Canis lupus familiaris: one gene and its partners. The protein of the gene in region 3 purifies or fractionates together with the protein of the main gene of each other region. This does not show direct contact. Links are inferred from orthologs where the notes say so. Each region holds a gene or a part of one and is shown on either strand. Other genes may lie near its edges. The genes, in order: ANAPC1, ANAPC4, CDC26, ANAPC16, CDC27, ANAPC2 and ANAPC7.

Region 1 (3,500 bases), on a different chromosome or scaffold from region 3:
TTCCTCCAACTATACCTATCCCCTAACAACATACATTTGCCTTCTGCATCACAGAGAAAACTGGACTTGAGCCCAACCTCTTCTCTATGTATCTAATAACCATCACTGCCTTTCATCTTTCTCCCCAAGGCTAATCTCTCCACTTGTGCTCCTTTCTGGTTCCTAGTTCTATCAGTCATTTCCTCTCTCCTGTATTTTCAATGCTTTCCCTACTTTGGATATAGTCCTTGCAGCCTACTCTCTCATATTAAGATAAAAATCTTAAAATATGAAGATGGACTGAATAATAAATGATATAAAGTACTGTTAACTGGCTAGGTATAAAAATGGCCTTGTGGTAAGATGTTCTTATGTTTTAGAGATACATGCCAAGATATTTAGTCTCAAAGACTAATTTTCTCTAATGTAATTCAGCAAGAAAATTCTCCCTTGACCCTGAGACTCCCTCTAATTTGTTTCCTCATCCCAATTCAAAGGCAATCCTTAAAATAATCTGTATGTCAATGTTCACTTCCTCATTCCCCATTCACTTCTTCCACCCCATTCCACTTCACAGCCCCTCTCCAAGTGCTCCGGCCAAGGTCACCAGTGAACTCACTGCCACCTACATACCACCTCCCTGAGCTCATCACTTAGTGCCACCCCCATCAGCACCTGGTAATACTGGCAGCTTTCTTTTTGAAAGGCTCTCTTTTCCAGTGTTCCATGACACTTCTGCTGCTTCTCCCACTTGACCTCTCCAGCTTTGTCTCTTTTTCCCTTTTTACCCCCAAAATCTTAAGTTTCCAAGACTTTAGTCTCTAGCACTCTTCTGACTCACAACCACCAGATCAATTATTTGGAGGACTCAGATCCCCTATGAGAATCTAATGAATGTTAAAACCCTCTCTTTAGGAAAAGTCCTATACATCACACGTGCACATGATTACTATATAATGCTACGTTACTGGAACCTCTGCCAAATGCAAACTCATCCAGAGGCCTTCCAGGAAACCAACATCTACACACTCTTTGACTTCCAATCTACCTCTCTTGCCCAAATCACCACTTATAAGCCAACAACTCCCACATTTATTGCTTTGCTCTTTCCTCTGAGTTTATGACCCATACATATAAAGCACCTTCTTAACAGCCTTTATCATATACAGCAGCCCTAAAGGGCAATCTTTCTCTAGCCTCCCCTTTCTCAAACCTTGCCCTTCCTTCCAGGATAAGCAGAGAGTATTTGCACATATTACATACTCATACTTCTGAACTTCTGATCGCCCTGCCTACTGTGTCCTTTTTCCCTTTATTCCCCAACAAATACCTATTCATCTTCCCAAGGCCCTATCAGTAAAGTAGGCAGTGCCTCTGTGTCACCAACCTTCAGCTGTCTCTTTTTCAGGAGAGGAACACCTATTAACCCACAGCCACTAGCACACACACTGGAATTGGCTGAATTAATGAATGATCAAAGAGAAAATAATAGAAAGGCCACACAGAACAGAGATCTGAGCTGCATTTCCCAAAAACAGCTGACACTCAACTAACATAAAGATAAAACTTTAAAAATACTATAAAATCCCAAGTTTCTTAATATACAGAAATTAGTTGTTTCTCCCTAAAACATCAAACACCTCAAATCTGAGAGATTTTTACTACTATGGAAGAAATAAGAAATGATAAGAGAATACTTTTATAATCACTTTAATATCATTAATATCCTCTATTGAAACTAAGGTAGCCTTAATATTTATGTTTTTATATAATTAGTTATATTAAAAGATTAAAAGGAAACCTTAAGTAAAACACTAAATATTTTTTAAGACTTTTACCCACATTTTTCTTCGAATATAAAAATATATATCCCAAACCTTATATTCGTAATCGTTTCTGTCCATAAATGGTCAATACAAAGTTCAGGAACAATTGGCTCTGTTTCTGGTGCAAGGAAGGAGCCATTAGAGCTATTTGGAGAGTGGGAAATACTGTGTCTCTTTGGAGACTGATTATGGCTTGAAAGGTTGAACCTCTGCACCCCTGAAAAAGAGTGCACTCCTAAGGCAGGAGAATGAGCACGACTGCAAAACAAACAGAGAAAGGGCATCACAATTAACAAGGCAGACTGATGGAACATACTTTGCAATCACAATTTCTAAAACTCTAGGTACCAAGTGCATTCATGGCATAATCCCAGTCAGAAATATTTTTTTAAGGGAAAAACTACTTAAATGGTTCACGCTAATGTGCTTTATTACGTTCCAAAGATTTAAAATTGTTGTTAGAATTCATCCTTTACTTTTAAAACTGAAAATTAGTTCATTTTCTGCCTCAGAACATGAATTGTTTTTATTATTCCAAAAGGTCCAAACTATATTCTTATATATCCAGATACATACATACCAACAAAACTATGTCCCCATATTACCAGGTATACACTAATAAAAATGAAAAAGCTAATGCAAACAAAAAAGAAAGAAAGAAGGAAGGAAGGAAGGAAGGAAGGAAGGAAGGAAGGAAGGAAGGAAGGAAGGAAAGAAAGGAAAAGAAAAAGAAAAAGAAAAGAAAAGAGAAAGAAAAAGCCCTCCCGCCCCCTCCCTCCCTCCCTCCCTCCCTCTCCAAAGAAACGAATCATTGCAAAATATTTTTGCAATTGATATTCATCAAACTGCTGCCATTTAGTGGTAATGAGGCAACCAATCTTACTGCAAACACAGCCAGCTTCTAAATAGGACTCATTTAAAAAAAAAACTAGCTTTTACTTAGTAAAAGTAACACAACTGGGATAATTACTATTTTCTGTAAAAAAAAATACCCAAGAGCTGTCAACAGAGATCATAAATCTTTCGTAACAATAAGAGAAAGTTTGAAAAGAAGGTATTTCTTTCTTGGGAGATCCTGTTAAAACAAGGAAACACTTCCACACTTAATTCCCACCTTAGAGCTGCCATGTTGGAAATAGAAGGTGAACGAGAGTGTAGACTGGGTGAGGAGGTCGAGCGACTCTGACTGTGAATGGAGGAGTAATTCTGGAAAGGTGAAGCCACGGGAGAATCTCCTTTGGAGAGGCTTCTGAGGTGTGCTGTGAGGGAGCTACTACTGGCCACATTCTGTGGGGTTCCCCCCTGTTCAGAGAACTTTAAGACAACATTCTCTTCCTTAAGTCAAAATGATGAGAAGGGGGGAAAAAAAGGCAATAATTAGATTAAAAGGGTAATTTCCTGGTGAGAATTCAGGGTAGAAGCCAGTTATTAAAGACACAATATTTCCTTTTTCCTATAAAGCTCAATGCATTTCACAAATGATTCTCCCAAACACATGTGAAAGTTTTCAGTGTTAGCTATCCTTTCCTACTAAGATGTGACTTGCCTTTATCCTTACCTCTGTTTTGACTCTCCGGAGAGCCCACACAGAATGCAAACTTTGAACAGTGTCATAGGTCATTATAATGGAGGGCTCAGTGTTGAGAAAAACAATTTTCATTGCATGATCTACAACATATTGCACCCTTGATGAAC
Region 2 (4,102 bases), on a different chromosome or scaffold from region 3:
ACTCTACAGCGGCTCCTCTCCCGGCCTCAGCTCGCAGCCTCCTTCACTCCGGGCACACTGGGCCCCACAGGGAAGCCAGGACTCCCAAGGAATCCTTCATTCCCTAGACTCAGCGCTCTTGTCTGAGCCCATCTCTGCCATCCCTTACTTCTGAAACCCTCCTTCTGTATCTTCTGGATACAGTGCTGCCTCATGGTCAGGTAGCACCAAGATCCCCATATCTTCCTTCTCTTCTCCAAAAAGTGCTTGTCACCCAGAGACACTGCTTTCCAGCAGGATTCTCAGGTGAGAGCTGTTCCCTATCCCATGCTCCCCACTCTACTGGGCCAGGAGATGAAGTAGGCTTCCTCCTTGACGTCCGATGACATCTCTGGATGACTTTTCTTCTCTAAAATCCTCCAACTCTGAATCATATGCAATCACACAAGACCACCCACTACCCCTCTTAATCATTTAAAGCCCCTTGGCCATTTCCCTCCTGCCTGGAACATCGGGACTCGTGTCATGCTTTCCAACACCATTCATCACCATTCTTGGTGATTTCAAGAGCTACGGTGTCCTGGCTTTCCAGTTCCCAACTACCTTTCTTCCCGTGATCATGTCTTCTACTCACCTGTCACTCCCAGGGTCATGCCCTTGACCTTGTCCTTACAGTTACAAGTGCTGCCATAAAGTTTCAAACCTTCCACTTTCCATCACTGCCTCTACCCTTCTAGCTCATTCCTACTAACACTCAACTTCAGTTCTTCAACCTCACCAAGCCATGTAACACACGATTGCACCTACTCATTGTCCCTCACTCACAACCCCCCCCCCACTTCCATACTTAATTGTGTTAGAATCCAAGGACCACCAATACCATCGCTCCTCTTACATGTAACTTTAACTCCCTTGCATCTCTGTCGCTATGTCACACTTGCAAAACAACACCCTGGTGAGACCCAACCATGCCTACACCCACGGAGTCAAACAGAACAGCAGAGACACAACCATGCTCACTAGATTCCGCCAAACTACAAGACAACCAACCTCCTGTGGCTCTTAATTCTGACCAGCAATCTGTGTGTTTGTTTTTTTTTTTTTTTTGGTTGTTTTGAAGATTTTATTTATTTATTCATGAGAGAGACACAGAGAGGGGCAGAGACACAGGCAGAGGGAGAAGCAGGCTCCCTGCAGGGGGCCCCATGCGGGATTCCATCCCGAGACCCTGGGGTCACTCACGACCTGAACTGAAGGGAGATGCTCAACCGCTGAGCACCCCAGGTGTCCCCTGACCAGCAACCTTACTAAGTTTCCCTAGTCCACTTGCCTCATGAGCTTTTCATACCCCGCACTTCTCCAACTACCAGTATTTTCTCCGCCCTCACTCCTAGACGGTGCTCCTCCTTCACTGAGGAAAGGGGCACAAAGGCCCGCTATGACATCTACACATCTAGTCCCACCGATCCCTGCTCTCCCTTCCGTCCTACTGCCGCGGCTGTACTATCTGCACCCCCCTCCGGAGCAGGAAGGGTTCCAGGGCACGGTGGCAGAGGGCAGCGGCCAGGAGGTAACATGGAGAGCCTTGAGGAAGGAGGCAGCAACGCCGGGTGAGGAGGTAGCAGCAGCCGGCATGCGCCGCGGCTCTGCAGGCTGCTAAGTATTCCTTACCCCTGGGTCCCAGCTGGTCTGCACACAACTCCTACCTGCCGGGGAAGGAGGAGACCTGCGGGGCTGAGGGTTTCCTTACAAAATGGCTGCCGGGTGACCGGGGCCCTCAGGACAAAGGTAGATGCAGCGGTTACCCGTGATGAGGCCGAACGTGATTGGGAACTAGAAACGCCAGGTGACAACACTCAGGTGCGCCCCGTGGGCCCAGGCAAGCATCATTCCCTTGCTTTACAGGTGTTCTTAGTAGGAGTCGGCCCCGCGATCCGCAGGAGGAAGCTTGGACAAGGGGCGCCCGGGCGCTCAGCGCTCAGGGGCGCGTGGTGACCCCGGGTCCCGGGATCGAGTCCCGCATCGGGCTCCCTGCACCGGGCCTGCTTCTCCCTCTGCCTGCGTCTCTGCCTCTCGCCCTGTGTCCGTCATGAATACATAAAATCTTTTTTAAAAAAAAAATAATAAATAAGAATGAACACTTGGCCAAGAGAGTCTAGATCTTCGAACCTGCCGTGAGACGCGCCGTCTGAGGCCCGAGCATGCCCAGGGGACGCGCCACACGCCACGGGCTTCCCAAACGCCCATTTGACAAATGAAGGACTCGACGGGACTCAGACTCGGGGATGCCGGGCCGCCGGGCGAGCGACTCCGCTGCGCGAGGACCGCCGCTCTCGCCTCGCAATACGGGAAATGGGCCCATCCTGGGGGCCTCCCGCGGCCGCTCCCGACGCGCTCTGCGAAGGGGGGGGAGGGGGGGGGGCGGCCGCGGCCCAGCGAGGGCGGCCGCGGGGAAACTGAGGCCGGGCCGGCGGCACGCGCTCGCCGTGGCGGGCTCGGGCTCACTCACCTCGCCGGCCGTGTTGGCCAAAGCGATGAGATCGCGCTTGGGCGACCAGACCAGGAAAATGATCTCCTGCGGCAGCTGCTTCTCTCCCACCACCCGGAAGGACGGGAAGCAGGTCGGGAAACGCAACATGGGGGCGGCCCTGCGGGGACTCCCCGGTCGGACGCCGCCGAGGGGGGGGGGGGGCTCCCGGCCAGGCGGTACCGGGGGTCCCTCTCCGCGGCCCGCGCCGCCCGGACCACCTCCCCCCGCCTCCCCGCTCCTCCACCCGCCGCGCGCCCGAGCCCCCGCGCCGCCGCCCGCCGCCCGCCGCCGCCGCGCGCTGCCGGCACTTCCGGGCCCGGACTTCCTCGCGAGAAGACCCGGCGGCGCGCGGGGCGGGGGCGCGCGGGGGCGAGGAACGCGGGCGGGGGCGCGCGGAGGGGAGCGGGAGGCGGGGACACGCGGAGGGGGCGGGAGGCGGGAGCGCGCGGGGGGCACGCGGAGGGGGGCGGGGACACGGGGGCGCGCGGGAATCGGGGGCGAGGACACGCGGACGGGGGCGCGCACGGGGCGGGGGCGGGAGCGCGCGGAGGGGGGCGGGGACACGGGGGCGCGCGGAGGGGAGCGGGAGCGCGCGGGGGGCGGAGGCGGGGGCGCGCGGCGGGGCCCCCCAGCTCCAAACCCCCTGAGCGGGCAACTAGCTCGACTGTCCCAGTAAGGCCGGCGGTTGACAGGCGGTAGCAGGTGGTAGTGCGAGGGCTGCGCGCTCACCCAGGCCTCCTCCCGCGGAGGACCTCCCGGGGCAGAGGACCTACAGGAGGCCCGAGGCCGGGGCGGGGGCCGCGCCCTGAAAGGCTTAGGCTGCGCTCGGCCGGGGCGGAGATGCGGGTTGACGCGGCCACGTGTCAAGGGCCGAGGGAAGGCGGGCAGGGCGGCGGCGGGAGCGAGGCGGGTGTCCGGGGCGGAGTGCGAGTCCGTGACGACCCACAGGACCCTGCGAGGTCAGGTGTGACGGGGAGAAGGCCGGGCCCGCGCACCTTCAGGAATGGAAGCGGGAACCATGTGGGCTGTGACTCCTCTAGGCCATGCGAGAGGCTGTCATCTGGAGGGGTCCAAGTCATAAAATCGGTGAAACATACAAAGTAAAAAATTGGCTGGAAAGAGATGGACGTAGATCGGTGTTGGAATCTCTCATCCTACGAGGGTTGCATTTATTAAATGACAAAAAAAAAAAAAAAAACCCAACTCAAAGTGGCAGAAGTAATAACTAGAATGTATTGGTTCATGTACAAGTCCAGAAGCAGAGCCGACCTCAGGGCAGGCTAGATCCAGGGACTCAGGAGACATCGAGGACCAAGCTCAGGGCGGACACCATCATGAGGCTGGCTCCCCCCGGGGTCGGAGGAAAGCTGCCATCAGCAACTGGATCTACGCGCTTCTGCATTCAGAGAGAGAACGAAGGCCTCTTCACCAATCACAAGACCAAAGCCCTGAGCTTTGCCGTGATTAGACCAAGCCCTATCATGAGCCTAACCTGCAATCAGTCACAGGTACGGAGTATGGAACAATGCCCCATAAAAAGTCCTCCCCAGGGATCCCTGGGTGGCGCAGCGGTTTGGCGCCTGCCTTTGGCCC
Region 3 (4,037 bases):
GGGTGGAGTGCAGGGTAGACAGGGACAAGGAAGGCTTCCTGGAGGAAATCTCTTAGCTGACTTATGAGGGCAGGCAGAGAAAGGGGAGTAAGAGAGAGGGAACAAGACACAAAGAGGCTCAAGAGAACATTCCTGAGTCTGAAAACTCAAGGTAATGCTTATGCTAACAAAAAAAATTTTTAGGGACAATGACACTCCCCAAGTCAATTTAAAACCTGTTAAAGGCATCATCTTTATATTCTCCACAGCATCAAGCAGAGTGTATCTGTAATAATCAGTCAGTACATGTGTTGTTGAATAAACTGAGAAACCCAAATAAGTGAGCACTTGAGGGGCGCTTGGCTGGCTCAGTTGGTTAAGGGTCTGCCTTTGGCTCAGGTCCTGATCCAGGAGTCCTGGGATCAAGTCCCACATCTGGCTCCTGGCTCAGTGGAGAGGCTGCTTCGTCTTCTGCCCCTCTCCTCTGCTCGTGCCCATGCTCTCTCTCTCAAAAATAAATAAAATCTTAAAAAATAAAGTGTACAATATTTTTTAAGATTTTATTTATTTATTCATGAGAGGCACAGAGAGAGAAACAGAGACATAGGCAGAGGAAGAAGCAGGCTCCCGACAAGGAGCCTGATGCGGGACTCAATCCCAAACCCTGGGATCATGGCCTGAGCTGAAGGCAGATGCTCAACTGCTAAGCCACCCAGGTGTCCCTAAAATGTACAATTTAAAGTGAACACTTGGAACACTGTGCTACACTTTTCCATTCCCATTCTTTACATTTTTTACTTGAATACAGAAACCCTGTGAATGCTGGCAAAATTACCTCTATTTTATAAATGCAGTTGAAGCTTTTTAGTTTGGTTAATAGATGTCAGCCTGCCATAAAAATTATACATAGGTCACAGGGGTGAGGATTAGATGAGAATGATGTCAAAGAAAGCTCCTTTAAAGTACATGCAGGGCAGCCTTGGTGGCTCAGCAGTTTAGCGCCGCCTTCAGCCCCGGGTGTGAGCCTGGAGACCAGGGGTTGAGTCCCATGTCGGGCTTCCTGCATGGAGCCTGCTTCTCCCTCTGCCTGTGTCTCTGCCTCTCTCTCTGCGTTTGAATATTTATCATGAATAAATAAATCTTTAAAAATAAATAAATAAATAAAGCACATGCAGCTATAGGGGTGCCAGGCTGGCTTGGTCAGTAGTATCTCAGGGTCATGAGGTCAAGTCCCATATTGGGTGTGGAGCCTCCTTATTAAAAAAAAAAAAATTAGGGACGCCTGCGTGGCTCAGGGTGTGATCCTGGAGTCCAAGGATCGAGTCCCACATCGGGCTCCTTGCAGGGAGCCTGCTTCTCCCTCTGCCTGTGTCTCTGCCTCTCTCTCAATTTATCCTTCATGAATAAATAAATAAAATCTTAATTTAAAAAGTATGTACAGGTATAAATTATCATTACATCTTGGATGTAGCTACAGACTGGAAGCATAGAAAGAAAAAAATGTATCCTTTGTGAAGCTTGGAACAGAACAGGCGATATTCTCACCATAAAATACTAGCACACTGAATCCGATAATATCTTGGGGCGCCTGGCTGGCTCAGTTGGTGGCGCATGGATGGGGCTCTTGATGTGGGGGCTCTAAGTTTGAGCCCCACATTGGGTGTAGAATCACTTAATAATAAAAATCTTCCCTTTTTAAAAAAAAAAAAAAGGTAAAATCAAAGAAATAAATCAGATACTCTCTTAAGTCCGATGTAAACAAATGGTAGAGGAAGCCGAAGTTCCAAGGGAGAGTAGGGGAGGGAAAAAAAAAAAAAAAAACCCTGCCGTACAGGTTCCTCACTTTTCTGCAAACTTTGTAAAGCTCGCCACTAGGAGGCAGTACCGAGTGATGGGCAAAGCTGCTCGCTCAGGAGGCCCAAGGGCAGAGGGCAGGGGCTCTAATCCCACACGCCAACCCTCTGGGACACTAGCTTCATCTTCACAGTGGACGCTGGTTTCCTCATGTTCTGCCCTCTGTTGTCTAGACTGAGTGAGGTACGGCAGTGTAAGTGCCTGGAACACAACTTGGCATTTAGTAAACGCCCAATAAACACCAGCTATTATTATTATTATTATCATCCTAATTGTCCTTGGGGGGGGGGGGGGGGGCCTCCGTCCGGCCCGAGAATCACCCAAACTTCAAGCATCTCCACCCCCGACAGGGGGGAAAGCCCTGGCCTTGCTCCTGTCGGATGCCGCAGCCCGCCCCCCCCCCCGCCCCCGCGGTACCCAGGCCGTGCAGAGGTGCCCGTGTGCACTTGACAGGCATCGCCTCACTCCGACCCCGGTACAAACACTCGGCTGAAGACCAGCAATAAAAGCAGGCCGTGGCTCCTCCTCCGGGCCTCCGTTCTACTTGGGAGCTGGTGGCCGCCGCCCGAATCCACTGCGCATTCAGCCCGCTCCAAGGAGGGCCCTGGGACAACCTCCCGACAGCGGGGAGGGCGACCAGCTGCAGAGTGGCACCCGCGGGCCCACAGCGAGGGTTTCCATGGCAACCTGGCCCTCCGCTCCGGGCCCACCGCAGCCCCTCGCGGGGCCGGGGGCCACGGCAGGCCTCGGAAGCCCTCCATTTGCTCCGGAGCTCAGCCCGCGGCCGCGCGGCCCGACGCACCTACCTCTTTCCAAGCCTGCTCGGCCTCCTCCCGGAACCCCGGCGGCGCCCACCGCGAATCTTCAGCTAAGCGAGCGGGACTACACTTCCCAGACTGCTCTGCAGAGTCTCGTCCGCCGCGTGCTTTTCTCCTTAAGTTCACGCTACTCTTGGCGCCACGACGCTTCCCTACTACTACTCCCGTCATGCCCCACGCCACCCACGACGCTGCGTCGGCCCACTTCCGGCCAGTGACGCAGTTCCGCTTTGCCGGGCGCGCGGTGGACGGTCTGAAAACGCAGAGCTCGGCTTTCGCCGGGGTTTGGCGGCCGCGGAGCTCAGCATGGCTTCCTCACGAGCCGCCTCCACGGTACGGAACTCCACTCACTCTGGCGGGGAGCGCGGAAGGGGCTGGGGGGGCGGTTCCTGCGAAATGGGGTCCCTCGGGGAACGGGCTAAGGCGGTGGAGGTCGGAGGTGAAAGGCTGAGAGACTCGGTCCTTAGAGGAGCAGCGTTTTCCAGACCCCGAAGTACGTTCCCGTGTTTTATTTATTTTTATTTTTGTAAAGATTTTATTCATTCATTCATGAGAGACACAGAGAAAGGGGCAGAGGCACAGGCAGAGGGAGGAGAAGCAGGCTCAAGGCAGGGAGCCTGATGCGGGACTCGATCCCTGGACTCCAGGATCACGCCCTGGGCCGAAGGCAGCGCTAAACGGCTGAGCCACCCAGGGATCCCCCCGTTCCCGTGTTTTAATTCATTTGCACCCCTCACTACAGGCCCGAACGGTAAATACCTCTTCCGACTGCTCCAAAACCTGAGCTCTAGAAGGCCCAGATTCACGTCTGTGTCAGACTTCATTGCAGTTTGGCCTCCTAACTTCATATGTGTTGCCTTACTCTGAAAACGTTTGAAATGTACCGAAAAGTAACTAACTTGCCCCCCTTTAATACTGCGTTGGTTGTTCTCCTTGATACTGCCCCTGTGATGAGGGGTAACCTTGGAAATTTCATAAAACCCAAGAAGAGGTTGCCACGGAATGATGCAGACATGTTCCAAAGCAAATCTTTGATAGAAAAGTTACCAAGAATAATGATGGACTAGTTCTATTAGCCTCTTCCCGTCTGCAGAACCTAAGTAGCTTGGAGAGACACCCCGCCCCCCAGTCAGTGAAGATAACCTGAACTGGTGTCCGACCTGTCCTTTTCATTTGGGGGGAAAATAGGATTGAAGCTCAGGATGAGCTCCATCCTTTGGGGGAAGCCTAATAAGTGGTTAGTATCAGACCTTAGGTTAATCCGTGTCTTTGATTTATCAGGCAACCAAAACTAAGGCACCTGATGACTTAGTTGCTCCTGTTGTGAAGAAACCACACATCTATTACGGAAGTTTGGAAGAGAAGGAGAGGGAGCGTCTGGCCAAA
Region 4 (3,500 bases), on a different chromosome or scaffold from region 3:
TGTAATCAAACCCTTTGTAACACACCAAGTAGCAATACATCAGTTTTCCTCCTAAGGGACAAGCAAAGGTTATAAGTAGTGAAAAGGTCAGTAAATTGCCCAAATCTAACATCATGCCAACTCCAATAAATAGGATGCTATCAGATTCATTTAAAAGAATATTACCTCACAGCAGGAAATTAGACACTGCCAGATAATTTATGCTTTAGCAGCCTACAATGTCACTAAAATTCAGCTACTTCTGGGCTGGAAGGCAGTCTCTAATTTGCTCCCTAATCTGAGTGAGGACAATCATAGCCAAGGGCAGGAAGAATGCTGAAAACTGCTGTACAGATCTTCGGTTTATGATGGGGTTATATCCTGATAAACCCATTCTAAGCTAAAAATACTAAGTTGAAAATGCATTTACTACACCTAAACTACTAAACATCATTAGGTAGCCTAATCTACCTTAAACATGCTTAGAACACTTACATTAGCCTACAGTTGCGAAAAATCATCTAACACAAAGCCTATTTTATAATAAAGTGTCAAATATCTCATGTAAATTATTGAATACCATACTGAAAGTGAAAACCAGGAATGGTTGTATGGGTACAGAATGGTTGTAAGTATATCAGTTGTTTACCTTGGTGATCGTCTGGCTGAGAACTGTGGCTCCCTGCCCCTGCCCAGCATCCTAAGAGATTACCGAACCAAATATTGTTGGCTCAGGAAAAGATCAAAATTCAAAACTCAAAGTATGCTTTCTACTAAATGCATATAGCTTTTGCACCCTGGTAAAGTAAAAAAATCTTAAGTCGAACCATCAGTAAATTGGGGACCATGTATACATTGCTTATGTGAAGTGTCTAGATTGGATGCAAAAGAATGTTTATTCAAAAGGTTAAGTACGTTATCTGGGTTTCACAGAAGGATGCAAGATCAATTTGAACCTGTTAAGATTATAAATAGTATCCAACCTTGGCTCCTGATTGCTTTTCTTCCTTACTGTGAAAAGGCAACTTTTCCTACTCTGTTTTCATATTTGATTAAACTACTCTAAGAAAAATGGTCAGGTACCTGTGCATTAGATTAACTGTATAATAGCATCACCTATAAACATTGTAGAATATGCTTCTAAATCTAACATTCTTATTAAATTTCATTTAGCAGTACTCTTTCAATTTAACATTTTTTATTTGAGTAGGATAGTTCATGGATTACCATTTCTAATTTTTCATAGTCTGTCCTTAAGTGTAAGTAGCTTTAAAATACAGCTAAAACTTTAAACCTAAGAAAGGGAATGAAAACTCTGCATTTTGAATTTTTTATTTTTTTTTGCATTTTGAATTTAAACCTAATATAAATTCGTCCTACAACAGAAAGCCAACACATTCTTCCATGGAGCATACTGGGATGGAGTAAAAATGGATAGAACTAAAACATGTTAGAACCTCAACATTCAGACTAATCTCAGGAGCCTTTCTTCTTTAATGTTTCCAAGTAATCTGGAGTATACTGATACAGAATGCTTATAGCTTTGAGACTAAGGAGGTACCTCCTGTATTAAATTTCTCCTGTAGCTAGGATTTAAATGACTTCAATCTTAGAGTCCATTGTTAAACATCAATTCCTTTTCTGCTGCTGTAAGACTCATTAAGCAATTTAAGTGCCTCCAACTTTTGATTTTTTGTGGGCAACTTCCTTAACACCAGGTCTCTGCTGCATATAAGACGTCAAAAATGTAGTGTCACATATGGTAAACAAGGCCCCAATTGTTCATTACATCTAGAGTCAGTGATACTAATTCAAGAATTCAGTTAACAAAACTAAAGAAAACGAGAAGGCAAAGACAGAAGTACATACATCTCAGATATATCACTAACTATATTACCTGACTAATTCACCAACTTGATTTGAACCAATTCTAGAGAGGCTTGTGGTCCTAGTTTTCTCATGTCTCTCAGTCACAAATGATTCTTCTGTTTGTTCTGGCTTTAACCCAAAACTCTTTTCACCTGATATAAATGAATAAAGTTTACTCCAAAAAGCTTACTCCTAACTATAGTTTGTACCTTGCTCAGAGATTTCTAGATTAATTTTTAAATATACTTACCAAAATTTGCAATTTAAAGTAAAAAAGATCAATACATAACTAAGCACAAAAGTGCTAGAATCAGGTAGATTTTGAATCCTTAATAGTTCTTTGCTGACTTTTTTCAAAGTGTGACGGTTTAATAGTTATGGAAGAATCTTTCGTGAGCATCCCTTGAATGTCAGTCAAAAGAAAAGATTTCTGTGCTGCACCCTAGACCAATTTAGCATCTCTAAGGTGGGCAGAAATGTGCATTTTAAATAAGCTCTTCAGGTGATTTTTATGCTCCCTATTAAGAGTTTACTGGTCTAGCTCCTCAAGTGACACGTATCCCATGAATTTCAGGTATCAATGCAGTGTCATGCTTACAGCCTGTGCTCTGATCCCGGCTAGCCAGTTTGCAAATGTGTGCTGAGTAGGATGTGGATGATTTGATACAAACCCAGCTCCCGTGCTAGAAAAACCATACAGTACTGTTCTACAGTGGGCCAAGGGAGCCATCTTCACATACAAGAGTAGTATATTAATTTTTATTTCCTCTTAGAACCTATTTGATGAGGTTAATCTAGGAGTAGATTAATTACATTAGAAAGAAATGTATCAAACCTACTCATTATAGGGAGGCAGACTGGTGCCAGGAATAAAGCAAACTGGAGAAGGAGGTCAAGAAAATTCTTGGTTCTAGTGCTGACTTTGTCTTTAATGTGGTCAAATCACATTAACTTTTCTGGGTCTAAATAAGTCTAGATGACTTCCTTGATTTCCAAAGCTTTTTTCAGCTCCAAAATTTTGATTCTGGAGAAAGATCTGTGTTTTGAGCATAATATTTTGAAATGGGGACAAGTGATGAAATGTGGAGCTGAAATCAGGGCAAACTTGTCTCTAATCTGCTTAATAGCTTCTTTACAATTAATATTCATTGCAGGTCAGAATCCAATTATTCAGCAAAAAGCAGCATGAGATCACCTTCTAACATCTCTCCAGCTCCTTTGGGGTAGGTGAAAAGGGCTTTCCGTGGTGGGGCAAGGTCTGAGACACTGAAACCAGATCCAGTGACAGAACTTCCACTGACCCCACCAGCTGAGGAGGATGATGAAGAGGCAGCCATTTCCTCTCTAGCAGAATTCTCACTTCACTACAGAGAAAGAAAAACAGCAATTGGCAAGTTTATGGAAGTGAGACTGACAACATTTCATTCTAGCTGCCATAAAAGCCAGCATACAGTTTAGTAAAGAATTAGCTCCCCCTTTTTCTACCCTCTCTGTTCCCACAATCTTTTACTGATGCCTCATACCAAAATGTCTCTCAGGATTTTATGTGAAAGTATGTTTATTCTGTTTTTCTACTTAAAACACTTACTTCCTATCATTAGCAAACTGTTTATATGGCTTGGGATCGACTGTGGGTGATTTATGGGTTATGA
Region 5 (3,500 bases), on a different chromosome or scaffold from region 3:
GGGTCACTGTTCTATAATTAGAGGGAAACAATTAAAATTATGTATTTTAAAGTACCTCTGAAACAAATTAGAAATAATTTTGAAAAGGGCTTGCCAAACATAGCTTTTGTCTATGTATCAGTAAAGGACCATTATCCAAACATGGAACTTATAGCAATGAATAAGGCTATCTGTCTACAGCAATACTTCTTTCTTTTCCATACAAAAGTACATGAGTTAATATCTTCTGTATCTATTCTCTACCTGGAAGAACACTTCATTCTCAGATCTGCATGGCTCATGGAGGAAGGAGTCACCTCCTTTCTCTGAGCATGTTTTTTTAATATATAGCACCACATATTTATTATTGTCCTGCAATTCTCTTACCATGCTTCATTTTTTTCTTCCTATGACTTATTGCTACCTGTCCTTATACATTTATTGGCTTACAATCTCTTACTAGAATGCAAGCTCTAGAAAGCCAAGCAATTATTTGTCTAGCTGTATTACAGAGTCTAGAAGAGAATATTAATCTATAATATGCACTGAATAAATGAAAGTAAATAGGGAAATACTTAGGGGTGAAGTGGGTACAAAATTTAAATTAAAAATCAGAATTTTCTTTTCTTCTTTCCTGGTAAACAAGTAACTTAAGCAACAAACATAATTAAAAGGATAAAAGCCTTGCGAAGGACATTATGTCCTTGATTATATACAGTTTTCTTTATGGCACTTTTCAAATTTATAAAACATATTAAATGCCAGAAATTCATCCCAGTAGGAACTCTGCATATAGTAGAAAAAAATTTTGATTATAAATATCTATTACATGGTAATATATCTTTGGATCCAACTGAGCAGGGTACAAATGTCTGTCTAAGAATATACGAATGTGGGTGCCTGGATGGCTCAGTTGGTTAAGCGTCCAACTCTTGATTTTTGGCTCAAGTCATGATCTCAGGGTTTTGAGATAGAGCCCTTGTAAGGCTCTGCACTCACATGGAATCTGCTTCAGATTCTTTCTCCCTCTCCCTCTGCCTCTCCCCTGACTTGAGCTCTAAAATAAATAAAATCTTAAAACCAAACATAACAAAACATATAGATGACTTGGATTCTCTAAAATAAGCAATTCCCTCAAATTTGAATTACCCCTTAACACAAGAAAAAATTGTCTATTTATAAATTAAAATGCTCAGAAAATATACATAAAGACATTACATAATAAATATTGGCCTTTTATTTTTTTTGTCTCGTTTTGTTAAATTTAAGCAGGCTGCACACCCAGTGTGGAACCCAATGCAGGACTTGAATGCATGACCCTGAGATCAAGACCCAAGCTAAAATCAAGAGTTGGATGCTTACCTGACTGAGCCACCCAGGTACCCCTAAATATTTACCTTTTAAATCTGTCTCGAGCATAGGCATTTTAATTAAATTCTCTCTAAAAAAGGCATGTATAATAGTTTTCTATACTTACTTGCATGTACTCTGAAAGTTCAAAATAGGCCCTTCCAATTTGGCACAGTACCCAACCAGTATTGTAGTGGTGAGAAGGTAGGTGGCTCAAGATATTTATAGCTTCTTTGCAGTTGTAAGAACACAAAGCTAAATAACCTTTCCCCATTTCACGAAGAAGGCTCATCAAACCTTCTAGGAGAAAACAATATAGTAAACAAAGGAGAAAAACACAATAAAACAGTTTGATTTTTTTAGAAAGGCTAACTACAAAATAATTTATTAAAAATTCCAATATCTATCTAGAAAAAACTGGAATGTACTTTAATGAACATAAAAAAACTTAAAGTGAATAAAATAAAATACAAAGAAGATATTAAGCATTTAAAACAGACCTGCTGCTGCTTTCTGTAGATTAAATGCCTGGATCTGAGGTGTGATTGTGGAGATTTTCCCTTCTGAAATGATGGAAGAGTCCAATTTGGTAATTTCCAGGCTATCATTTATGTTAGGTTGAGTTATTCCTCCTTTATTAGTTTTACTTTTAGTTTTTCTGTTTGGGATTTTAGGTGGAAACTTCATTTTTAACTTTTTGCTATTCTCCTGTAAAAAAGAGAAAAATTCCACATTTGTTAAACTCATGTATTTTAGACTTCCCAGTCCTTTCTCAAGTATCAGACACAAAATAAATATATAGTCTTGACTGGGCTATATTTTTCTCACAAAAAAATTACAGAAACAAAATTTTCAAAATCATTTAATTTTAAATGCAAAATAAATTGTATTCACGAATTAGTGTGTAATATAAATCAGCATTATGTGTTCGTTGCTCTTTTCTCAAAGTGTATCACTTTCATTTATTATTTAAAATAAGAAAATAAATGGATGTAATACTACCTAGTTGTCTCAGAGCATTGTAACTGGTAAGTCATAAAACTGTTGATTTGTTGATGTCAAAATTAAAAATTATCCATAATATTTGTCAATGGACCAAGAAAATTTACCAAGGGCATAATGAGGCCCTCCAACTGTACAAAGAAATATGCAAAGAAAACACAGAAAACTTCTATTTATCCTCCCTCTAATTTTCCCAGTGATACTATCTGATATAACCACAGGACATCAACAAATCCATGACCCTGGAATCAGTTCAGTACTGTCAACTAAATTAAGATCTTATTTGGATTTCATCAGTTTTGACATGTACTTATTTTTTGGTGTGACAGATCTATGAAATTTTATCACTTGTATGATTCGCATAATCAACCATTACAATAAGGATACAGGACTGTTCGACCACTACACAAAGAAACTCCTTTGTGCTATGCTCTAATAGTCACATCTTCCCCCCACAGTCTTAACTCCTAATAGCCACTAATTTGTTTCCCATCATAATAATTTTGTCTTTTGAACAATGTTTTATAATATTTATTTAAAAAGGACATTATTAAAGGACGGAGAAAATCTACAAATGTTATAGACAGCTTTACAAATTAAAAAAAATTAAAATAGTCTCTGTGTTTGAGATAAAGTCATCAATGAACAGAAATTTAAGAAGGCTAAGCATTAAGTATATATAACAGAAATCTTTAAATTACCTTGGTTGTAGAGCTGTCACTAGTAAAAAGTCGTGAACTTCTTCGAGGCAGTGCGTTTGGGGGAGATGTGATAGTGGGGCTCAATACCTGAGGTGTTGTACTAAAAAAAAAAAAAAGATAAAAGTGGACTTAAAAAAAAAAAACAGTTTATGACCATTACTTGTTTCAATTCAGATACATTTTAAAAAATGCATTCATCATGTTTGTACTCTAAAGTTCTTGAGTTTGGTTGGTCTATTTGTCATCCCTCTATGAAAACTCAGGATTTAAAAGTTATCTGTTACCATAAAATGATAAAAATTATAACATGGATATTCACTCTATATGAAATTGCTAATTTGAACTTAAAACAATCCACATAAAAATTCTGGATCAATAAATGATAAACATGTCTATAAACTAATACTCTCTAGCTCTCATTTGCAACCATAGCGAGTTAGAGAAAGATAGTTGGATACAGACAGTCTA
Region 6 (4,126 bases), on a different chromosome or scaffold from region 3:
AGACTGTGCTGAGCATGGCACGGGGGGTCTCTTGCTGTCAGTAGGGCCAGCCTCCACTCAGCACCAAGACAGCTTCCACCACCCTCCAGGTCTTGGTTCACCCATCTCCATACACTCTCGCCGCTTCTAAAACCAGGGGGTGAGACACCTGGGTGGCTCAGTGGTTGAGTGTCTGCCTTCAGCCCAGGGCATGATCCTGCAGTCCCGGGATCGAGTCCCACATCAGGGTCCCTGCATGGAGCCTGCTTCTCCCTCTGCCTGTGTCTCTGCCTATCTCTCTCTGTGTCTCTCATGATAAATGAATAAAATCCTTAAAAAAAATAAAAAATAAAAAAATAAAACCAGGGGTCAGGTTTGCTAGAAACCTATTCTACAGTCCGCAGGGGATAGGGCCTAAGAGGCTGTCCTTACCTTGTGGAACTCACGCAGGAAGGAGCGCTCATACTCGCCCCGGCAGCGGTCCTCCATCCTCTCCCTGGTCACCTGGTGCAGGGTGGTGGTCACAGCCTCGGCACTGACCCGCTCCAACAGACTGAGCCTGTGTCTGGAGGAGAGCCCTGCCCGTGGAGCACATAAAACATAATCCTTTCCCCCACCTCCCATGCCCTCTATAACAAAGGCTTCAAATAAGCTGCTGGGAGGACACAGCCCTGCCCTCCCCAGCTGACTTCCCTGACTGGGCTGACACCCTGGCCTTCCCTGTGTGTGTGGTGGGTGTGGCTCTCAGGGCCAAAGCCTCATCTCCCAAATGTGACTCTGAAACAATAGCTAAACACATCCCTGTCCTGGTCACATGTATAGAAGTCCTCAGTTATGCCTTTTGGTGCAAACCCTGGTCAGCAATGGCAAAGGGAGTCAAGAGGCGAGGAGAAAGCATGTTTCTGTGTCTGAGATGAACCCAGTGAAAGCCATTCAGGGCTCCCTGACCCCTGCCAGCAACAGGACCACTCCCTAACAGCTGCACTGCTGTTGCTTCACTCAATGAGACAAAATTGTTATAAGCAACCACAAAGGACAAAAGGTCAACAGGTCAGAACCTGGCTTTAATAACAACAAAACCCTTTCCTCTTTAAAGACTGGAAAGGGCAGCCCTGGTGGCTCAGCGGTTTAGTGCCGTCCTCAGCCCAGGGCCTGATCCTGGAGACCTGGGATCGAGTCCCACGTCAGGCTCCCTTCATGGAGCCTGCTTCTCCCTCTGCTTCTCTCTCTCTCTGTATCTCTCATGAACTAATAAAAAAAAAAAAAAAAAAAAAAAACTGGAAAGACAATCTGCTTGCCAGCATGTTGGCCTAATCCCCAGCTCGTCCTGGAAAGCATAAAAAAAAAATCTCTCTTTTTTTTTTTTTTGCAATTATAGGAGAGGATAACTATCTTCCCTTCCCTGGAGAGCCTACAGAAGACACAGCAGACTTGTATGTGACCGGAAATCTGGAATCACATAGGGTCTTGGTGTGCACGCAGTGTGAAACCTGAGATTAGCGTGAGTGGCAGAGATACTTGTTCTTTTTATCCAGGACAAAGAGTATAAATTCACAGCACAGGGACCCTGGGGACTGTCCCTTTGTAATGTCCAGGACTGTCAGGGCAGAGATGCCCCCCTCCCCAGAGCCAGCTCACCAGCTTTCTGAAGAGGCCGCTGGACCCAGGAAAGTAATCTAGAGTCAAGAAGAACAGGGAAATGGCCACAGCCACAAGTACTCACAGGACCTGGCTGAGCTGGTGAAACTGCTCCAGGGCCTGGCGGCACCAGCATTGCTGTTTGTCACTGCCACACCCCGCACACAGGGGGCTCTGCAGAAGTCTGTAGTACCGCCGGCGGGCGTACCTGCTGTCCAACTCCCCCTCTAGTTCCGGGTCTGTGCCCCCTTCCCCCTTCCTCTTACTCTGCATGTAGACTCTCAAAAACCGCCCGTAGAGGCGCTGAATCATCTCCTGAAACATTCTGGGAGTGGAAAAGAACAGGACGCCCCGCAAGGTGGTATGGACTTTCTCCCGAAGCCCCTGAGCGCCTGCGCCCATCAGCAAGCCCAGGCGAGTCCACTTCTCCAGCAGCTCCAGGCTACGCAGGTAGGGGTCCAGGCGACTCTCCAGCAGGCCGAAGGCGTCAAGGAGCAGCAGAAGGCACTGGGGCTCGTCCGCACAGTTCTCACGCTGGGAGATGGTATTCCAGAACTCGAGCGAGATGTGGGCCTGCAGGTCGTTCTGCAGCACCTCCACAAACCACTCCTCCAGCACCGAGTGCAAGCCGTGGCCCCTCAACACCTCCACCGCCGCCCGGAGCTCCTCCTCCTTCGGCGGCACCGCACCGCTGGTGCGGGAGGACGCCTGCGGTGCAGAAAACCGTGAGAAGGGAACGCGGAGGGACGCGGAAAGCGCGGGGACGGACGGGGAGCAGTGGGGAAGGGACGCAGCGGAGGGGAGGCTGCGGCCGACGCCAGGTAGGAGCTGTCCGGGAGCACAACGCCCACCCGGCGGACGTCCCAGGGACCCCGCGCGGGCCCGCTGCCCTCTCCCGGGGCCTCACCAGTCCGAGCGCGGCCGGCGGCACTAGCCCGGTGCTCACGGTGTTCCAGGCCAGCAACAGCTCCTGTGCGGGCCCGGGGTCGCCGTCGCGCCCCGCCGCCGCCATCTGCGCGGCCCCCTCCAGGTCCCCCGAGCTCCGGGTGCGGCGCGCGGCGATGACGCACACGAGCGGCGCGCAGCGGTGACGTTTCGGAGGGCGCGCCGTCGGACGCACCGCGCAGGCGGGAGCGGCGATGCAGTAGCGGCGGTTGGGGTGGTCGCGGCCTGGGCGGTCACCATGACCCAGCAGGGCGCAGCGCTGCAGAATTATAACAACGAACTGGTCAAGTGTGAGCGGCCTCGCGGCGGGGTCCGCCTGGTGGGCTGGGAGGGCGCGGGGCTCGCCGGCCTGCGGGTCCAGGCGGTGGCGGGCCTGCCGCGCGTGGCCCAACGGGCTGCACCGTCCGTGCGTGGGGCCTCGGCCGGGACGGCGCCGGGGGCCTTGCGGGCGAGCCAGGGGGACAGCCGCTGTGCCGCTCGCCCGGGCGCCGGGTATCTGCGCAGTGAGGGACAGAGCGGAAGGGGAGAGCGTGCACCGCCTCCCGCCCCCCGCACGGTCCAGGGTGCGAGGGGTGCGCACCGTCCAGTGCACCGGGCACGCTCCAGAGTGGGAGGGGTGCTGTGCTCCCTCCTGCCCTGGGTCCACAGCGTGTGCCCTCCCGCTCGCCCATCCCAGGCATCGAGGAGTTGTGCCAGAAGCGGGAGGAGTTGTGCCGGCAGATCCAGCAGGAGGAAGACGAGAAGCAGCGGCTGCAGAATGAAGTGAGGCAGCTGACCGAGAAACTGGCTCGCGTCAACGAGAACCTGGCCCGCAAGATTGCCTCTAGAAACGAGTTTGACCGGACCATCGCGGAGACAGAAGCCGCCTACCTCAAGGTGGGGCTGGGGCCCCGGGGGAGTCTAGGGCCGGCCAAACGCAGGGGCGACAGGATCCCGGTTAGGTGTCAGTGAGGCTGTCGGGGGCCTGGCAGGTCAGGAGTCCTGTTTTCTGCACCATTGTCCTCCCAGACCATGAGCAAAGAGCGGCCCCGGGCTCAGCTAACCTAGACTGGCTTCCCTGGGGTGCGAGGAAGGGGCTTTGGGCTAGTCTTAGGGGGAACGGGCCCTGCTGACCCTGTCTGACCTGCCCTTCAGGGGCTTCATTGCACTGCTGCCCCACAGCTCAGTGCTGGCGAGGAGTGGTGGTGACCATCCTACGTCTGTTTCCAGATCCTGGAGAGCTCGCAGACTCTGCTTAGTGTCCTGAAGAGGGAAGCTGGGAACTTGACCAAGGCCACAGCCTCAGAGCAGAAGAGCAGCGGAGCTAAGGACAGCTGATGGGGCCGTTCTGGGGAGGGGCCTGCCTCTACTGTGCCCGGCAGTGGCTGGGCCTCCGACTATCCTCAGCGTCTTTACTCTTTTTGGCACCAGCTGCCCCCTTTCAGTGTCTCAGGTACCAAGAGGCTGTTGCCAAGCTCCACCTGCCCCAGGTGACAAGGAAACCTCTGGGCACGTCCCGGCCTTGTACTCATGCAGGACTTGGGGAGTGCAGGCTCTGGGTCAGTTCTGTTCAGGGCCTGAGGTC
Region 7 (3,500 bases), on a different chromosome or scaffold from region 3:
GGAAATTTGATATGGAAGGGAAAAAAATCTGGTATCTGGATATGTTACATGTGAGAGATATTCAGAGAATTTGCAAAGCCATGATAAATAACAAAGCAGCAGCTTCTGGCCTTCAATGATGGCTTCCAGTGCTGAGCACAATGCACTATCTCAACTGATATTTACTCCATGAAAATCTGAGAAAAGAGACTAAGAAAGGTAACTAATGTGTCCAAAGTCAAAGACCTTGATCTGAATCTGATTATCTTTTCAATCTGTGTTTTCAACCTATATGCTATCAATTTCCCAAAGAATGTACTGAAAACTGGAGAGAAAAGAGAACGCATAAACATACCCAGAGACCACCCAGGGTTCTGCATGCTGATCAGAAATATTGAAAAGGCGGCAGCCAAGATTCTCCACATCCTCTAGCCGCCCTTCTCTTGCCAGGAGGTAGCCATATACATCCATTCCTGGAAAGGAAGAGGATTTTTAAAAAGCAGCAGGTGTCCTTTATTAAAAGAGCAAGAGCCTGGGATCCCTGGGTGGCGCAGCGGTTTGGCGCCTGCCTTTGGCCCAGGGCGCGATCCTGGAGACCCAGGATCGAATCCCACATCAGGCTCCCGGTGCATAAAAAAAAGAGAGCAAGAGCCTTCATCAGAACCCCCACTCAAGCCTCAGTTCCAGCATGGTCTGGGCCCTTTCCACAATCATGAGCTCCTCCCACCAGCATTCACACTTTCCTACAATAGGGCTATTAAAGGAGCACCTGGACAGCTCAGTTGGTTGGGCATCTGACTCTTGATTTTGTCTCCTGTGGTCATGAGATCAAGCCCCACATTGTGCTCTGTACCCAAAGGGGAGGGGAGTCTGCCTGAGAATCTCCCTCACCCTCTGCCCCACCCCCATGCTGGCTTGCTAGCACTTGATCTCTTTCTCAAATAAATAAATAAATCTTAAAAAAAAAAAAAAAAAAAAGACCATTAAAAAGACAAAACATCCAAAAAGTTTAAAAAGCAAAAGAGTAGAAGAACCTACAACTCACAATTTTGAAAGCCAATTATCTTTGGGAACTGTTTGTCCCTATAACCTGTGACATGATGTGCAGTTATCCTAACTCATAACCAGAAAAAGCCCAAAAAAGGCATCAAATAAGTTCTTTTCTTCAAGAGTGCACACTTAATATGCAGTTAGTCTCAGAAAAAGTAGCTTATTCCAGAAAAAGCATCTAGTTCTTTCTGGCCCAGCGGATTTAAGATCACCCTTACTCTGCTTATTCTTACTTGTGTTCTATAAAAGGGTCCCTGCTTGCTGTCACCCATCTCTTACCACCATCTCCCTCATTCCTTGTTATCTCTTCAGACTCCCAGGAAAACGTCTCTCTTGCCAAGATCACTGCAATACTCTGCTGGCCCCTAAACTCGGCCTGAGCTTTCAACTCCAAGCTGCTAACTACTGCCAGACTAGTATTTCTAATACACCATTTTCATCATGGGCACAGGCAACTGAGAGGAGAAATAAGCACTGGGCAGGAGGGAGACGTTGAGCAAACAATTTCATCTTTCTGCATCTGTTTTCTCATCTCCCTGCTCTGTAGCCTTAAGAGTCTACAGGACTAAAAACTGTCAACAGGCCATATTTTTCTCATGGCTTCTTTTAGGACTTTATAAGCAGATTTCAGCCTATCAATACCTTCCCACACTCACTGCCAGTCACTGGATACTCATCCTTTGGAAGTCCCTATGGCTCACCTCTTCAGTTACAATCTTTGAGATCAAGGATTTTGTGTTGTTGTTAATTCCTAATTACTTCCTTTAATCACCTCAGTCCTCTCTTAATGCCTGTTCACTTACTTGCTTTTAAGTATACTAAGGTCACAGTAAAACTAAATCCCCTAAAAGGATATTATGGTTTTGGGGATGCCATCCAAATTCTGTCAGGCACACCATAAATTTATAAATCATAAGGAAGGGCTATCACTCCTCCCAAAAGAAAAAGAGCCAAATAATGATCTGCCTGGAGATGACACTTGAATTCAAGCAAAAACAACTGCTTAAAATGGAATTACTCAAGTGTTAAGAGGCACGTATTAGGACCTAAAAAAAGTAAAAGGCTACTGAAATAAGTTTCACAATAGTTCTATGAAAAATGGTATTAGAGTATTATGGTATATTGTCTCCCTTTCTTTTCTTTTTTTTTTTTTTTTTTAAAGATTTATGATAGACAGAGAGAGAGAGAGAGAGGCAGAGACACAGGAGGAGGGAGAGGCAGGCTCCATGTCGGGAGCCCGACGCGGGACTTGATCCTGGGACTCCAGGATCACTCCCTGGGCCAAAGGCAGGCGCCAAACCACTGAGCCACCCAGGGATCCCCTCTCCCTTTCTTTTCTGATCCTCCCCACTACAGCCACTTCCACCATGCTTCAAAAATTACTTACCTTTTATCAGATAAGGATCCAACATCTGTGCCTGTTCAAACTTGAGGACAGAGTTTTTATTGTCTCCAGCTCTAAAGTACAGATCTGCTAAGCTTCCCAACAGGTCCACGTTATCTCGCAATAAGGACTTTTTCTCTAGTGAACTTCAAAATATTAAACATTGTTTAACATGTATTATGAATCCTCTTAATTTCAGAATCTCAATGACAGGTATATAAGCACTATTTTCTTTTGTGTATATTTAACATTTTTCATAATAAGAAACTTTTCAAATAAACTGTATAGACTAGCTTTTCTTTTTCTGAGCTTATGATTTAAAGAAAGTTACAGAGGATAACAAAGCCAATATACAGAATGAAGCAGAAATCTCTGTCATTACCCAGAAAGAACTTTCTGGTTGCAGGTTTTCAGAGGACAACATGGTGCTAAATGTAATGTCATTCTTTTTTTTTTTTTTTTTTTTTTTTTTTAAATTTTATTTATTTATGATAGTCACAGAGAGAGAGAGAGGCAGAGACACAGGCAGAGGGAGAAGCAGGCTCCATGCACCGGGAGCCCGATGTGGGATTCGATCCTGGGTCTCCAGGATCGCGCCCTAGGCCAAAGGCAGGCGCCAAACCGCTGCGCCACCTAGGGATCCCTAAATGTAATGTCATTCAAAAGTGACTGCTACTTATTACTCAACCAAATGATTTTACAGAACAAAAAACTCAGTCCCTTATCCTTGGACTTTACCTGACTAGAAAAGAAAATCCCAGTTCTAAAGAGGCAACCCAGGTCAGATGCTGCAATCTATGCTTCTGGGACATTCAAAAAGATGTTCTTCCAGGTTCAAGCATGACAACTAAGGCAGCCAGCTTTGCAAGGGTTATCACTTTTGCAAATACAGAGCTGAACTTAGTCAAAGTTTACATTTAACAGGTCCTCACAGCAGAGATTATTACCCTTAGTATCGTTAGGTACATTAAGAGACTAAAAAGCAAGCCTGAGGACAACAGGCTGAGAGATAAACATCTCATATTTCTATTTTGCTAATTTAGATACATCAGACCTCCATACAAAGGGCCTCAAGAACACTGAATTA

What was found.
Region 1: the proteins of CDC26 (region 3) and ANAPC1 purify together in Homo sapiens (co-immunoprecipitation; 6 studies listed by BioGRID and IntAct, with this or other methods). This does not show direct contact. The link is inferred for Canis lupus familiaris from reciprocal best matches to the Homo sapiens genes CDC26 and ANAPC1.
Region 2: the proteins of CDC26 (region 3) and ANAPC4 purify together in Homo sapiens (affinity purification with mass spectrometry; 11 studies listed by BioGRID and IntAct, with this or other methods). This does not show direct contact. The link is inferred for Canis lupus familiaris from reciprocal best matches to the Homo sapiens genes CDC26 and ANAPC4.
Region 4: the proteins of CDC26 (region 3) and ANAPC16 purify together in Homo sapiens (co-immunoprecipitation; 5 studies listed by BioGRID and IntAct, with this or other methods). This does not show direct contact. The link is inferred for Canis lupus familiaris from reciprocal best matches to the Homo sapiens genes CDC26 and ANAPC16.
Region 5: the proteins of CDC26 (region 3) and CDC27 purify together in Homo sapiens (affinity purification with mass spectrometry; 12 studies listed by BioGRID and IntAct, with this or other methods). This does not show direct contact. The link is inferred for Canis lupus familiaris from reciprocal best matches to the Homo sapiens genes CDC26 and CDC27.
Region 6: the proteins of CDC26 (region 3) and ANAPC2 purify together in Homo sapiens (co-immunoprecipitation; 7 studies listed by BioGRID and IntAct, with this or other methods). This does not show direct contact. The link is inferred for Canis lupus familiaris from reciprocal best matches to the Homo sapiens genes CDC26 and ANAPC2.
Region 7: the proteins of CDC26 (region 3) and ANAPC7 purify together in Homo sapiens (affinity purification with mass spectrometry; 5 studies listed by BioGRID and IntAct, with this or other methods). This does not show direct contact. The link is inferred for Canis lupus familiaris from reciprocal best matches to the Homo sapiens genes CDC26 and ANAPC7.

Annotation. Positions count from the first base shown.
Region 1 is NC_049238.1:36,479,244-36,482,743, forward strand, and holds part of ANAPC1 (anaphase-promoting complex subunit 1), read right to left. Parts: coding exon 3,364-3,500; intron 3,141-3,363; coding exon 2,920-3,140; intron 2,064-2,919; coding exon 1,857-2,063; intron 1-1,856. UniProt on the Homo sapiens protein: Component of the anaphase promoting complex/cyclosome (APC/C), a cell cycle-regulated E3 ubiquitin ligase that controls progression through mitosis and the G1 phase of the cell cycle.
Region 2 is NC_049224.1:85,510,380-85,514,481, forward strand, and holds the start of ANAPC4 (anaphase-promoting complex subunit 4), read right to left. Parts: upstream 2,801-4,102; 5' UTR 2,618-2,800; coding exon 2,489-2,617; intron 1-2,488. UniProt on the Homo sapiens protein: Component of the anaphase promoting complex/cyclosome (APC/C), a cell cycle-regulated E3 ubiquitin ligase that controls progression through mitosis and the G1 phase of the cell cycle.
Region 3 is NC_049232.1:68,048,891-68,052,927, forward strand, and holds the start of CDC26 (anaphase-promoting complex subunit CDC26), read right to left. Parts: upstream 2,801-4,037; 5' UTR 2,640-2,800; intron 1-2,639. Other genes in the region: PRPF4 (U4/U6 small nuclear ribonucleoprotein Prp4), read left to right, coding at 2,958-2,984, 3,933-4,037. UniProt on the Homo sapiens protein: Component of the anaphase promoting complex/cyclosome (APC/C), a cell cycle-regulated E3 ubiquitin ligase that controls progression through mitosis and the G1 phase of the cell cycle.
Region 4 is NC_049225.1:23,616,251-23,619,750, reverse strand, and holds part of ANAPC16 (anaphase-promoting complex subunit 16), read right to left. Parts: intron 3,213-3,500; 5' UTR 3,186-3,212; coding exon 3,044-3,185; intron 1-3,043. UniProt on the Homo sapiens protein: Component of the anaphase promoting complex/cyclosome (APC/C), a cell cycle-regulated E3 ubiquitin ligase that controls progression through mitosis and the G1 phase of the cell cycle.
Region 5 is NC_049230.1:17,538,416-17,541,915, forward strand, and holds part of CDC27 (cell division cycle protein 27 homolog), read right to left. Parts: intron 3,133-3,500; coding exon 3,033-3,132; intron 2,038-3,032; coding exon 1,830-2,037; intron 1,630-1,829; coding exon 1,457-1,629; intron 1-1,456. UniProt on the Homo sapiens protein: Component of the anaphase promoting complex/cyclosome (APC/C), a cell cycle-regulated E3 ubiquitin ligase that controls progression through mitosis and the G1 phase of the cell cycle.
Region 6 is NC_049230.1:48,462,357-48,466,482, reverse strand, and holds the start of ANAPC2 (anaphase-promoting complex subunit 2), read right to left. Parts: upstream 2,801-4,126; 5' UTR 2,630-2,800; coding exon 2,525-2,629; intron 2,326-2,524; coding exon 1,703-2,325; intron 545-1,702; coding exon 412-544; intron 1-411. Other genes in the region: SSNA1 (Sjoegren syndrome nuclear autoantigen 1), read left to right, coding at 2,801-2,852, 3,239-3,438, 3,772-3,879. UniProt on the Homo sapiens protein: Together with the RING-H2 protein ANAPC11, constitutes the catalytic component of the anaphase promoting complex/cyclosome (APC/C), a cell cycle-regulated E3 ubiquitin ligase that controls progression through mitosis and the G1 phase of the cell cycle.
Region 7 is NC_049247.1:8,464,090-8,467,589, forward strand, and holds part of ANAPC7 (anaphase-promoting complex subunit 7), read right to left. Parts: intron 2,560-3,500; coding exon 2,417-2,559; intron 453-2,416; coding exon 335-452; intron 1-334. UniProt on the Homo sapiens protein: Component of the anaphase promoting complex/cyclosome (APC/C), a cell cycle-regulated E3 ubiquitin ligase that controls progression through mitosis and the G1 phase of the cell cycle.